3 linked regions of the Saccharomyces cerevisiae S288C genome follow. Changing the gene in region 2 together with the main gene of any one other region gives a genetic interaction. Each region holds a gene or a part of one and is shown on either strand. Other genes may lie near its edges.

Region 1 (4,117 bases), on a different chromosome or scaffold from region 2:
ATATAAAATCTACGGTTACCTTGGCTGCTGAGGAAGCTGTCGTCTTCAGAACCCCTCCTTTTCAGGGTATAATCCTTCATTCCGTTTTTGAAGTCAGAAACTTTATTGAAAACACTCATAGTTCTGGTTCTATTTAGTCTATGAATTTTTGACTGTTTTCTTGGATCTGTTATTGGTCCATAATAGACCTCTGCGTTGGAAAACGGGTCAAAATACTCATGCATAGAGGACAACCGCCGGTGATGTCTTCTACCACCTTGTTGCCCCTCTTCTTTCAACGGCCGCTGCTCTGAACCACTTGAAAGTGGCTTTATGTTATCTTCACCATCATTACCTTCGGATGGAGGATTTATTTCCGTTACTTTTGGTAAAAAATCTACCATTATTTGAGTATATGCAGGTCTCCTTATATACCAAATGTCTGATCCGAACCTGCGTCAAATATATTTGCAAAGGAAAAATATAAATAAATAAATAAAATTGAGAAATAAAGAATATTAGTTTTAATGGAAAACAGTTCCTACAAGCGCTATAACATATGAAATATACATTAGTCGAATATTAACTTTGGGAGGTAATTACAATTCCTATCCGCTTTATATAATTTAGTGGAACTGGCACGCCGCTCGGAAAAATTGGACTTCAAATTACCCCGCGCGGAGATTTGCATTATAAACTCTATAAAGATGCGTGAATTTCTACTCATTTATTACTAATTATTTGAATGTTCTTTTGCGAACTCATTTATCTTGCTCATTACTCTATAAATATCTATGCCATGTGGTAGGAAAAAAATGCAGACCTTTCTTAATTCAACTTTTTTTCTTTCAAATCGATGGGGTCCCCATTGGTTTCCTCGTCATAATCACCTTCCTCTAATCTGTACTCTTTGTTTAAAAAGGATTTGTGAAACGAAAATTTTAATAAAATCCATGCCATCCGTATAGGTCCAAACTCTGGCCATAAACAATCCAGCAATTCGATGCGTACGCCCTTACTCGATGCCTGCCATATCAAAAAGTCACTTAATCTGGAAACGCCACTTGTCCTAATCAATAAATCTAAAGGGGGTACCCCCGCCGTGTAGAGATGCGATTCTAACGTGCTTTCGTCTATAGCGGCGCCCTTCTTATGTTGAACAATTGTTTCTTTCATGGCATGCAAGATTTCTTCCCTGCCTGTATATGGAAAGCAGATATTTAACGTGGCCCTTTTGTTGTTCTTTGTAGTTTCCACAGCAACCCGAACATCTTCTAATAGAGACTTATCCAACAAAGAGAGATCGCCGATAATTTTAATGCGTACCCCATACTTACAGGCCAGCTCTCCACGTTCTGTGATTTGTCGTATCCTTTCGCGCGCTAAAGTCATCAGTGATTCAACTTCCCGTGAGCTCCTCTTGAAATTTTCAATTGAAAAGGCAAACACGGTAGCCGTATCGACTCCTGCTTCATAACACAGTTCTAAGATTCTACTCATACTAACAAATCCTGCCTCGTGGCCCTCCTTTACGTCCATCTCTTTCTTTCTAGCGAATCTCCTGTTCCCATCCATGATGAACCCAACATGTCTAGGTACACAGTTAGATGCACGCAATGTGCGCGAAAAGATGTTTTTTGTCCACTTTAACACAAATGAATGACCAGGTATACCACTATCCGTTTCCATACCGTCTTTTACCTGTGTTTACCCTATTTTTACTGCTTAAGTTCTATTGAAACCTGTCATTATTACGAAAATTTTTTTTTTTTTCATTCTAAGCATTTTGTTGGCATCTTCGGAAAAAGCCCGAGCGAGGGTAACAGGGTTAGGGGATTAGAAGATTAAAGTAAGACACATTATAATCTATAGAGATTTTCTACAACACAAGAAGTGTGCCATTCAGTCCGAATTGAGTACAGTGGGACGATGTTTCAAAGGTCTGGCGCTGCTCATCACATCAAATTGATTTCATCTCGAAGATGCCGCTTTAAATCCTCCTTTGCAGTTGCTTTAAACGCTGCCAGTAAGTTGGTAACTCCCAAGATTCTTTGGAATAATCCCATATCATTAGTCTCGAAGGAGATGAACACATTGGCCAAAAATATAGTTGCCCTCATCGGGTCTGGCCATCCGGTGCTAAACAAGGTTACTAGTTACTATTTTGAAACAGAAGGCAAAAAAGTACGTCCCTTGTTAGTGTTGTTGTTGTCAAGAGCACTTTCTGAAATTCCCATGACAGAAAGAAATCACTTGAAAATTGACAAGTCGGATGTTCCTGAGGACCCAATTTACTCTAAACCTAGTCAAAATCAACTATTTCAACGTCCTGCAAGTAGCATATCCCCACTACATATTCTTCACGGTATTAAACCACTAAATCCCTTGACAAAAGGTCCTGAGCCTTTGCCAGAAGAAACTTTTGACAAACAAAGAGGGATTTTACCCAAACAGAGAAGATTAGCAGAGATTGTAGAGATGATACACACTGCGTCTTTACTTCATGATGACGTTATTGATCATTCTGATACAAGAAGAGGAAGGCCAAGCGGAAATGCTGCCTTTACCAACAAGATGGCCGTTTTGGCGGGTGATTTTCTCTTAGGGAGAGCAACAGTGTCAATTTCAAGATTACACAACCCCGAAGTCGTAGAACTAATGTCTAATAGTATTGCGAATCTTGTCGAAGGTGAGTTCATGCAACTGAAAAATACTTCCATTGACGCGGATATCGATACCATCGAAAATGGCCATAAGCTACTTCCGGTTCCTTCTAAAAAGCTTGAAGTTAAAGAGCACGACTTTCGTGTTCCAAGCCGCCAACAGGGGCTGCAATTATCTCATGATCAGATTATAGAAACTGCATTTGAATACTACATACACAAGACCTATCTGAAGACTGCTGCTTTGATATCAAAATCTTGCAGATGTGCTGCTATATTATCTGGGGCATCACCTGCCGTTATCGACGAATGCTATGATTTCGGTAGAAATCTAGGTATATGTTTCCAACTCGTAGATGATATGCTTGATTTTACTGTGTCTGGAAAAGATTTAGGGAAGCCATCCGGCGCGGATCTAAAATTAGGTATTGCTACTGCTCCAGTCTTGTTTGCATGGAAAGAAGACCCATCTTTAGGTCCACTAATTTCACGCAATTTTTCAGAGAGGGGTGATGTTGAAAAAACTATTGATTCTGTGAGACTCCATAATGGTATAGCGAAGACGAAAATACTAGCGGAGGAATATAGGGACAAGGCATTACAAAATCTACGGGATTCTCTTCCTGAATCTGATGCTCGTTCTGCCCTAGAGTTTTTAACTAATAGTATACTAACAAGAAGAAAGTAAACCTTGAAATTTCAAATAAAGGGTGAAGAATAAAGAGAAAATGAAGAAGGTCATAGTGTCGCATTATTCTATATTCTATATGTAAATAGTTTTTATATGTTTTTAGTAAAAGAAGAAATATACAAGCATTAAGGATCAGGCTGGTGGTAAAAAAGCTGCAAATAGGATAGTCTGTAAAGGTATCCAGAATGCCAACCAGTATATGTAAAACTTGACTATCTTATCGTCACCTTTCGGATTTTCCATTTTTTTTGGATCAGAAGTTTTAACCAATCTATCAGCCAAATACCAAAGGTGCAAGGGTAAAAAGGAGGCTATACGATTCAGAATTTGGACATGGGCAAAAAAGCATACTATGACGACCAGTGCTCTGGTGATCCATACGAGAGCCTTCAAGTTATAGGAGGGATAAATTTTGCTGAAATATATGGAGGAATAGATTAAAATAATAATATTTGGGACAGCAAACAAAAAGTTTGGGATGTTGTTTGGGGTCCAGTATTTCAATAACCCAACTCCCCAATAATGACTCTGAATGTAGGAATATAAAGAAGTTTTCGTGATAAAAATGCTTGAAAACAATTGAGATTTACACCATTCACCCCTTTGAGGACAAAATGTCTTATATGGTAGGTAATATTGTTGATATAGTAGAGCAGAAAACATTAATGATCCTGATAATAGTGGGAAACATATTGCTTTTACAAACTTCCTGTTCTTTGTTAGTTCAATAAGGTCAAAAATAAAGTAAATCCCTAACAAAACACAGTTTGAACGATTCAAGGAT
Region 2 (4,180 bases):
ATTATCATTGGTGTGGCTGCCGCTGGTGAAGAAATTTCTACAAGGCCGTTCCAGCTGGTCACTGGTAGAGTGTGGAAAGGCTCTGCTTTTGGTGGCATCAAAGGTAGATCTGAAATGGGCGGTTTAATTAAAGACTATCAAAAAGGTGCCTTAAAAGTCGAAGAATTTATCACTCACAGGAGACCATTCAAAGAAATCAATCAAGCCTTTGAAGATTTGCATAACGGTGATTGCTTAAGAACCGTCTTGAAGTCTGATGAAATAAAATAGGAGTACTTAATTAAACTAAGTAAGCATGACTCAAATTTTCTGGAATACTTTGAAAATCAACGTCCTACATTCTATCAAATATCATATATATGCGCACAATTACGTTCTTCAGCAATCAGTTAGACCTGAAGAAAAAAGTAAGGGTAGAAAAAGTATATAAATATATAAAAGTGTAAAAATAAAAAATACAATGTGGTTGTGTGAAATTTATTGACCTCGCCTGTTCCTAACTACCAACGTATTGAACTATTAAAACCATTACCGAAAGCGCTATTATCACCAACATTGGAAAAATTAACGTTAGCTTTGTCACTTTTGAACTCGTTAAACGAGCTACCATTCCCATCTCCCTCCTTCATTGACTTTGTTGCCATCGATAACGGTGGTGACATAAATTCCATCAAACTAATATCACGACCTTTGTTATCGTTCCCATCGGTGCGACCAGCATTGCTACCACCATTAGTATTAACAGAAATATTGTTATTACTGGGAGTACGCGACGCTGGTCCAAATGTTGATGAATCTATGTAATGATTGGTTTCACTTGCATCGCCGCTTATTGATTTTGGACCACCACAGCGTAAGCACACTACGTTTTTAGCAAAGTTATGATACGTGCACGTGGAACACTTCCAATCTCCTGCTCTAAATGGCATGTTGGAGCCACATCCTCCCATACCGATATTGGAATTACAATTATTACTATTGTTACCATTGTTATTATTATTATTATTATTGGTATTACTATTACTATTGATACTACCATTATGATGATTGTTATTATGATTGTTATTATGATTGTTATTGTTATTACTGTTGTTCCCATTACCATTCCCATTACCGTTGATGTTGTTATTAATGTTATATCTATTATTGGTCATATTGTTAATATTATTGTTGTTATTGTTAATATTATTATTATAACGATAATTTGGGGCTATATTATTATTTCCCGAAAAATGATCCGCTATAATTATCGGCGACCCACTGTTCGATGGTGCCATGTTCAATGAATTTTGTCGCGACAATGGCGTAATTGCAGGAAAATGAGCTCTATTGTATGTTAAAGCTGCTGGCGTGTTGTTAGCAATCATGTTGAACTCAGGGGCACCATAGGGGTGATTCGCTGCAGTGTTACTAATATTGCTTGAAGATCCCGAGTTCACGCGATTGTTTAAATTATTTCTACTACTGTTAACATTATTGTTTGAGTTCGCAGTATGTATTTGACTATTTGATGGTGCCGGAAAAGAACATCTAAAACATGCAGTACGTCTTTGAAAGTTTGAAAAACCACAAGATGGGCAATTCCAGTCACCTGGTCTTGGTTTGTTTTTACTTTGAGGGAAAGGCGATAAAATTTCTTGAGCCTTATCGAGTACTCCGGTGGAAGAAGGTTGAAGCTCAAGGACATGTTCCACCACCCTTGGTTGCTTAGTGTTTGCCAGATTAGATAGGATTGATCTCCCATTCAACGCTAGTACTTCAGTTGCTTCTTCATGTGTTTGGAAGACAACAAATCCTGAGATACTATCTTGATCTTCCACATAGGGACTGTTATTTAGACTCCAGTTATTATTAACGTTAGACGTATCTTCTACGATGTTTTTGACAGTCCAAAACCCAACTGGTCTAACACCATATTGGGTAAACCATGATTCCAACTCACTTTGAGTTGTGTCGGGCGGTAAATTGTTCATGTACAAAATCTTAGATTTCTCTTGCAAAAACGCTCTAATATCGGTGTGTGAGTCATATGGTTTTGTTAAGACAGATTCCATATCTTCAGGGGAAGTACACTTTTTGTGCAATTGTATTAATATATCCGTTGTCCTTTTTAAAAGAGAGTATATCTCTGGAACAGAGCCTGCCTCTTCAGTTGGGATTGAAACTTCCAATATTCTAACTATTTCGTCCAAATCCTTCGTATTTTTGGCTGCATTAATACTAATACTTTTAGTATTACAATTGTTGTTGGAGATTGCTTTCTTTTGTCCCAAAATCTCCGGATGGTTGACACACCATCTATCGAATTCCTTCCATAAGTCAAATACTTTCGGATGTTGTAAATAAGAAGTAAGAATAAACCCATCATCTCTCGCTTGACGTGGTAAGGTAACACGGATATGCCATGTTGAATACAGGGAAACAAGAACAAAGTCGTCGTTACCAATAACGTCATGAATATCCTTGTCCAATTGCACCATTGCACTCTCCAAACTCTTTGTCGTCCCGTTTACTTCAATGCTCGGTAAAGAATTGGTCCCATAATGGCATACTAATGTTTCAGCATTCACAATTTGAAATGCTATATTCGCAATGCGACATTGATCCTTGGGGGTATCTGGCAAATGCGCAACTTGCAGCTCTAGTACCACATAGTGCATAATTTCTGTATCAAAAATCACAATAGCAATGCACAATTATCCTAGCGCTCTTCTTTAGTAATGCTATTTGCATCAAAACCAACTTATTAAACTTGTATGTGTTGAAAAATTTTTCACTTTAAACTTTTCCACTGGGCATCGGCATCGGAGAATGAAAATATATTACCAAAGTCACATTAAACAAGTACATGACATTACTTAAAGAAAACCCTTTATAATAGGCACTACTATTACTACTGTTACTAATTTACAATTATATATGTATATATGTAGATACACAAAGTTATGGAACGCCTACTCACTGTCTTCATCGTCTTCGTCATCGCTACGAGGCCCTTGATATTCATTTGTGACTCCATCTGGATGTTGTTCTAACCACATCTTTTCCCAAGCAACAATACGGGATACGTTAGATACCATATCTTCTTTCGTATCGCTTTGTAGCTCTACCACAATGTGCGGTTCGTATGATTCCACGGCATCCTGTTTGACGACACCCATAATCTCGGCATCGAGGTTTTCCTCGATCTTAGAGTCATGATAGCCTCTTGCATGCAATCTTGAATACAAGTTAGAGTTATCGCATCTCAACACCACCACCAAGTCAATCAGCCTCTCTGGGAACACATCATTGACATGCCAATCGACAATACTATTTCCCTGTCTCAAAAGAGGCTCTAGCATGTCCAGCAGTTTGTCTTCATCGACAATGTGCGATTTACGGCCCTCATCATATCCTTCGAAACAGTCGTTATCTTTGGCGAAATCCGAAATGTTATAGTATTTGTAATCCTTCAGTTTATTTTTTAAAAACTCACACGTAGACGACTTGCCACATCCTGGTGTTCCTGTAACAATGATATTCGGTCCATACCGTCTTGCTTCCATCTTTATATAACAAAGTATTTCTTTATTTTCTAATAGTTCCTTTCTACGAGTCTTGTGTATGATTTATAAAGAGTGAGCTCTTTTGTTATGAAGTATATTATTATGTGAGTATTTTTTTATAACTGCGAAAAAGCGAGGCGAACATTAATAAGATAATAGCAAAACAGGCATTTTTTAAACTAGATATGCAAAAACCACAAGGAAAAACAGGAAGAGAAGAGAATCAAAATATACTATTCCCTACATAATGGAAAAATTTGGTTTAAAAGCGCTAGTACCGCTCCTTAAGCTAGAGGACAAAGAACTTTCAAGTACATATGACCATTCCATGACCTTAGGAGCGGACTTATCGTCGATGCTATATTCGTTGGGTATTCCAAGAGATTCACAAGATCACAGAGTCCTCGATACTTTTCAATCACCGTGGGCAGAAACATCCAGAAGCGAAGTGGAGCCCCGATTTTTCACACCAGAATCATTCACCAATATTCCGGGCGTATTACAATCCACTGTAACTCCACCATGCTTCAATTCCATCCAAAATGACCAACAGCGTGTTGCCCTTTTTCAAGATGAAACTCTATTTTTCCTCTTCTATAAACACCCTGGTACAGTCATCCAGGAACTAACGT
Region 3 (3,377 bases), on a different chromosome or scaffold from region 2:
AGGACACAGATAACAAAAAAATGTTTGCTGTTTTCAATTTCAGTAGCGATAATACGGACTTTTCAGTTCCTGATAATGAGGCCTCCTACACCATGTTTTTTGGCAACTATGCAAACTCAAATGGTGATTCCCGCACCTTGCAGCCATGGGAAGGAAGACTTTACTTGTTGAAGTAACGAGCACATTTAACATAAACGTACTGATCTTTCGAAACAAATAGTTATGCCGATATTTATGAATAATAAACTTGTATATTTCTTTTTACTTTTGCTTTTCATATGTGAGCATTGGATACTTAACTTACGCTGTACGCTATTTTCAATTGCAATTTATATATGTATATAGAAGACAGAAAATTCACTGAACCTTTTTCCGAAGAAATATAAAATAAAAAGCAACGTACAGCAGAAAAATAGAAAACATCATTATTACTGTTTCTATTGTCTAAATTTAGCCCTTTAAACCCCATCATCATAAGTACTAATTACCACGAATTCAATAATTAGTAAATACATTCGACTATTCTCACCCTAACTTTCGTCACTTTATCTTAAAACACTAGCTAAAAGTCGTTTATTATAACAAAACTAAAAATTTCGTAGTATGCACGCCTTATTGCCCAGTATTTTGTTAACTGTATGGATTGTACTAGTAAAAAAAATCTTGACGAAATTGAGTATAAACAAAATTTTAAAAAGCATAGTGCCAAATCAACAGATCTTAGTGAGGTGCAGGCCTTGTTCTTAACAAAAGCAAACCCCTCTTTATATATTGATATATAGGTGAACTAACTCAAATCATGTAAAGCTTTTCCTAAAGGAGCTGTGAGACTCCATTCCGAGAAAGTAACTTTCAATCCGCCACGCTCAGGTGTGCAAGCCATTGGTCCAACAAGGTAATGGTCAGAAGTTGGAAATGGAGCCAAACGTACTAACGGCCATGTTTTTTTATCAGAGGACACCTGAATCCTCAAAACGCCCTTTTCAACAGTAACACGAAGCCAGAAATCGCGAGCATTTCCGCCATAAACAGCAGTTGACCAATCTGATTTTCCATTTGTCAAAACACTGCTTAGCATTGCGTGGCCATCAGAAATTTCTATGCCAGCTTTGAGCCAATGTCCATCATCTATACGAACCATGATACCAGCCTGATCATAAAGACTCTCGTAGCTTCCCTGAACACGGACTTGTGCAGTAAAAGCACTACCTGTCTCTACTCCCAAAAAATGACCGCTATCACGGGTAAATCCGTAAAATGTTTCACGCCAAAAGTCAGTTTTTTCATCTGTTTCCAGAGTGACTTTTCCTGCCTCTTGAAAAACAGATTTTGGCTTATTGAGCCATGTTCCTTGCGATAATTCAGTATTCTTAGATTCGACCATTGTGTTTGGTAATTTATCTTGTTTGATGGAGAAGCCGTCACTTGGACTTTTGTTAATATTAGGTCAGGTTAAATACCTAGGAAATCTGTGCGTATAGGATCATCCCTTTCTAACTCCATCGAAAATGTTACTTGTTTTGTTCGAGGCTATTTGATGACCCTTTCATATGGACGCATGCAGGTGGCCATATTTTCAGTTTAAAGTTTCTCCGCATGTTAATTTGCGCTGAAAAATTAGAACGGTACTTATTTCCCCGAAAATTTCTCAAATCCGAACATAAAGCTACCAGCCACGCGTTTTCTATACGGTTGGAACTTGAGCAGTTTTACATAAGTTGTAAACTATAATTTTCTCCTCGAAGATAGATTATACCAGAAAGAAGCTACTATACACAGTCGAGTTGAGAATGAGCAACTTAAACCAGAACATATACCAATAATTAATAATCTCTCTGCGTATTTAGTCGACTAAAACTGAACTAGCTTTTTATTTATTCTTATAAGAAAATACGGTACATAATCATAGAAGACAACACTTGCTTTCGATAATTCCTCCAGAAAGTGGATCCATCATTTTCGATAGTTTGTAGTTGTACTATCTTTTTCAGTGATCTTTCTTATCACCTTACAAGGATTACCTGCTGCCACTACATTTTCTGGTATGTCACGAATCACAACACTACCGGCGGCAATCACGGAGTTTTTACCTATATTTACTCCAGGAATTATTGACACTCCACCTCCAATCCATACATTGTCTCCAATGGTCACAGGCATGGCATATTCTAATCCTTGAAGCCGTCTTTCCACGTCAATTGGATGACCTGCCGTATAAATACCAACATTAGGGGCGATAAATACGTTGTCACCGATGACTACCTTGGCCCCATCCAATATAACAAGATTGTGATTGGCGTAAAAGTTGTCTCCGATATAGATGTTACTTCCGTAATCACAGTAAAACGGCGGTTCAATTATAAAGTTATCAGTGCAACTACCAAGTAATTCTCTTATTACCTGGCTCTTTTTATTCTCATCAGCGGGGCTAAGGGTGTTGTATTCGTGCAATTTTATTTTAGTCTCTTTTCTAATTTTCAAAAGATCTGGATCATAGTTCGCATCATAAAGCTCACCAGGTACTATATTTTCTAATACGCCCATTTTTCTCTAGAAGCCTTGTTTATATGCTTATTAGAATGCTTCTCTATGTTCTTGTTGTAGTACGTGAGATCTCACTCTTTATACTTGCGTCTTTTCGAAGTAATGCTAAATAGTGCCTGGCCCAGCGTCACAGGGTGTTTAACGAGCGCGTACTATTTGTGAATTTTTTTGGGCACATTGAAAACTTTAATTTTTTAAGTTATTCAGGCACGGCACACTATGACAGGAGGTTACGTCGGAGAAATAGCGTTATGGCCGATTGTGAGAACATTTAAGAAATTTCAATCCATAACAATAAAGTGGCAGTGTCACCTAAAATATTAGTACCAACTTGCCCAATTGGCAGAAGGAAAATAAGGATATCAGGCCACCGACTTGGTACTATTTTTTTATGGTAAATGTGTACTTTTACTAAGCTTAATTTGAAACAGACGTCATATGAATGTTTCTGGGGCTACTTGTTACAATTCTCGGTCCGCAACAACTGAACTCTGTACTGTTCTGTCTCAATGCTTGGTTTCTTGAATGGAATTTCACTCCACCCTTCGGAACGTTACAAAATTTATACATTTTAAAAATTATTCATGAGAGAAAGATGCTATAGTAATCTGTTCACCCTGTCAACTCGTGTAGCTCATGTTTATCATATAATTTCTAGTTCTATAAGGCATAACAAATAGTCCGTTAAGGATTAAGGCGTAAAAAAGTAAATATTGTATATAATAAATAATTAAGTTCATGTATTTTTTTCCAGTTACTAAAAACCGGAAGATTAGCTGGAAAAGAACCTCTTGTAGATTGGTCTATCGTCATGGTCTATGGCGTCAGCATCG

What was found. A genetic interaction does not mean that the proteins touch.
Region 1: of NRP1 (region 2) and COQ1, a mutation in one rescues a mutant of the other (synthetic rescue), as found in Saccharomyces cerevisiae (one study listed by BioGRID).
Region 3: mutations in NRP1 (region 2) and REE1 together harm fitness more than expected from each alone (negative genetic interaction), as found in Saccharomyces cerevisiae (2 studies listed by BioGRID).

Annotation. Positions count from the first base shown.
Region 1 is NC_001134.8:240,901-245,017, forward strand, and holds COQ1 (trans-hexaprenyltranstransferase), read left to right. Parts: upstream 1-1,908; coding exon 1,909-3,330; downstream 3,331-4,117. Other genes in the region: alpha,alpha-trehalase NTH2, read right to left, coding at 1-383; RER2 (ditrans,polycis-polyprenyl diphosphate synthase), read right to left, coding at 808-1,668; GPI-anchor transamidase GPI18, read right to left, coding at 3,466-4,117. UniProt on the Saccharomyces cerevisiae protein: Assembly of polyisoprenoid side chains.
Region 2 is NC_001136.10:160,495-164,674, forward strand, and holds NRP1 (Nrp1p), read right to left. Parts: upstream 2,661-4,180; coding exon 501-2,660; downstream 1-500. Other genes in the region: SFA1 (bifunctional alcohol dehydrogenase/S-(hydroxymethyl)glutathione dehydrogenase), read left to right, coding at 1-270; FAP7 (nucleoside-triphosphatase), read right to left, coding at 2,955-3,548; CCR4-NOT core subunit CDC36, read left to right, coding at 3,796-4,180. UniProt on the Saccharomyces cerevisiae protein: May play a role in chromatin organization.
Region 3 is NC_001142.9:21,140-24,516, reverse strand, and holds REE1 (Ree1p), read right to left. Parts: upstream 1,385-3,377; coding exon 788-1,384; downstream 1-787. Other genes in the region: oligo-1,6-glucosidase IMA5, read left to right, coding at 1-176; YJL218W (acetyltransferase), read right to left, coding at 1,954-2,544; hexose transporter HXT9, read right to left, coding at 3,317-3,377. UniProt on the Saccharomyces cerevisiae protein: Functions in the galactose metabolic pathway via the GAL83 protein and that it may control the level of ENO1.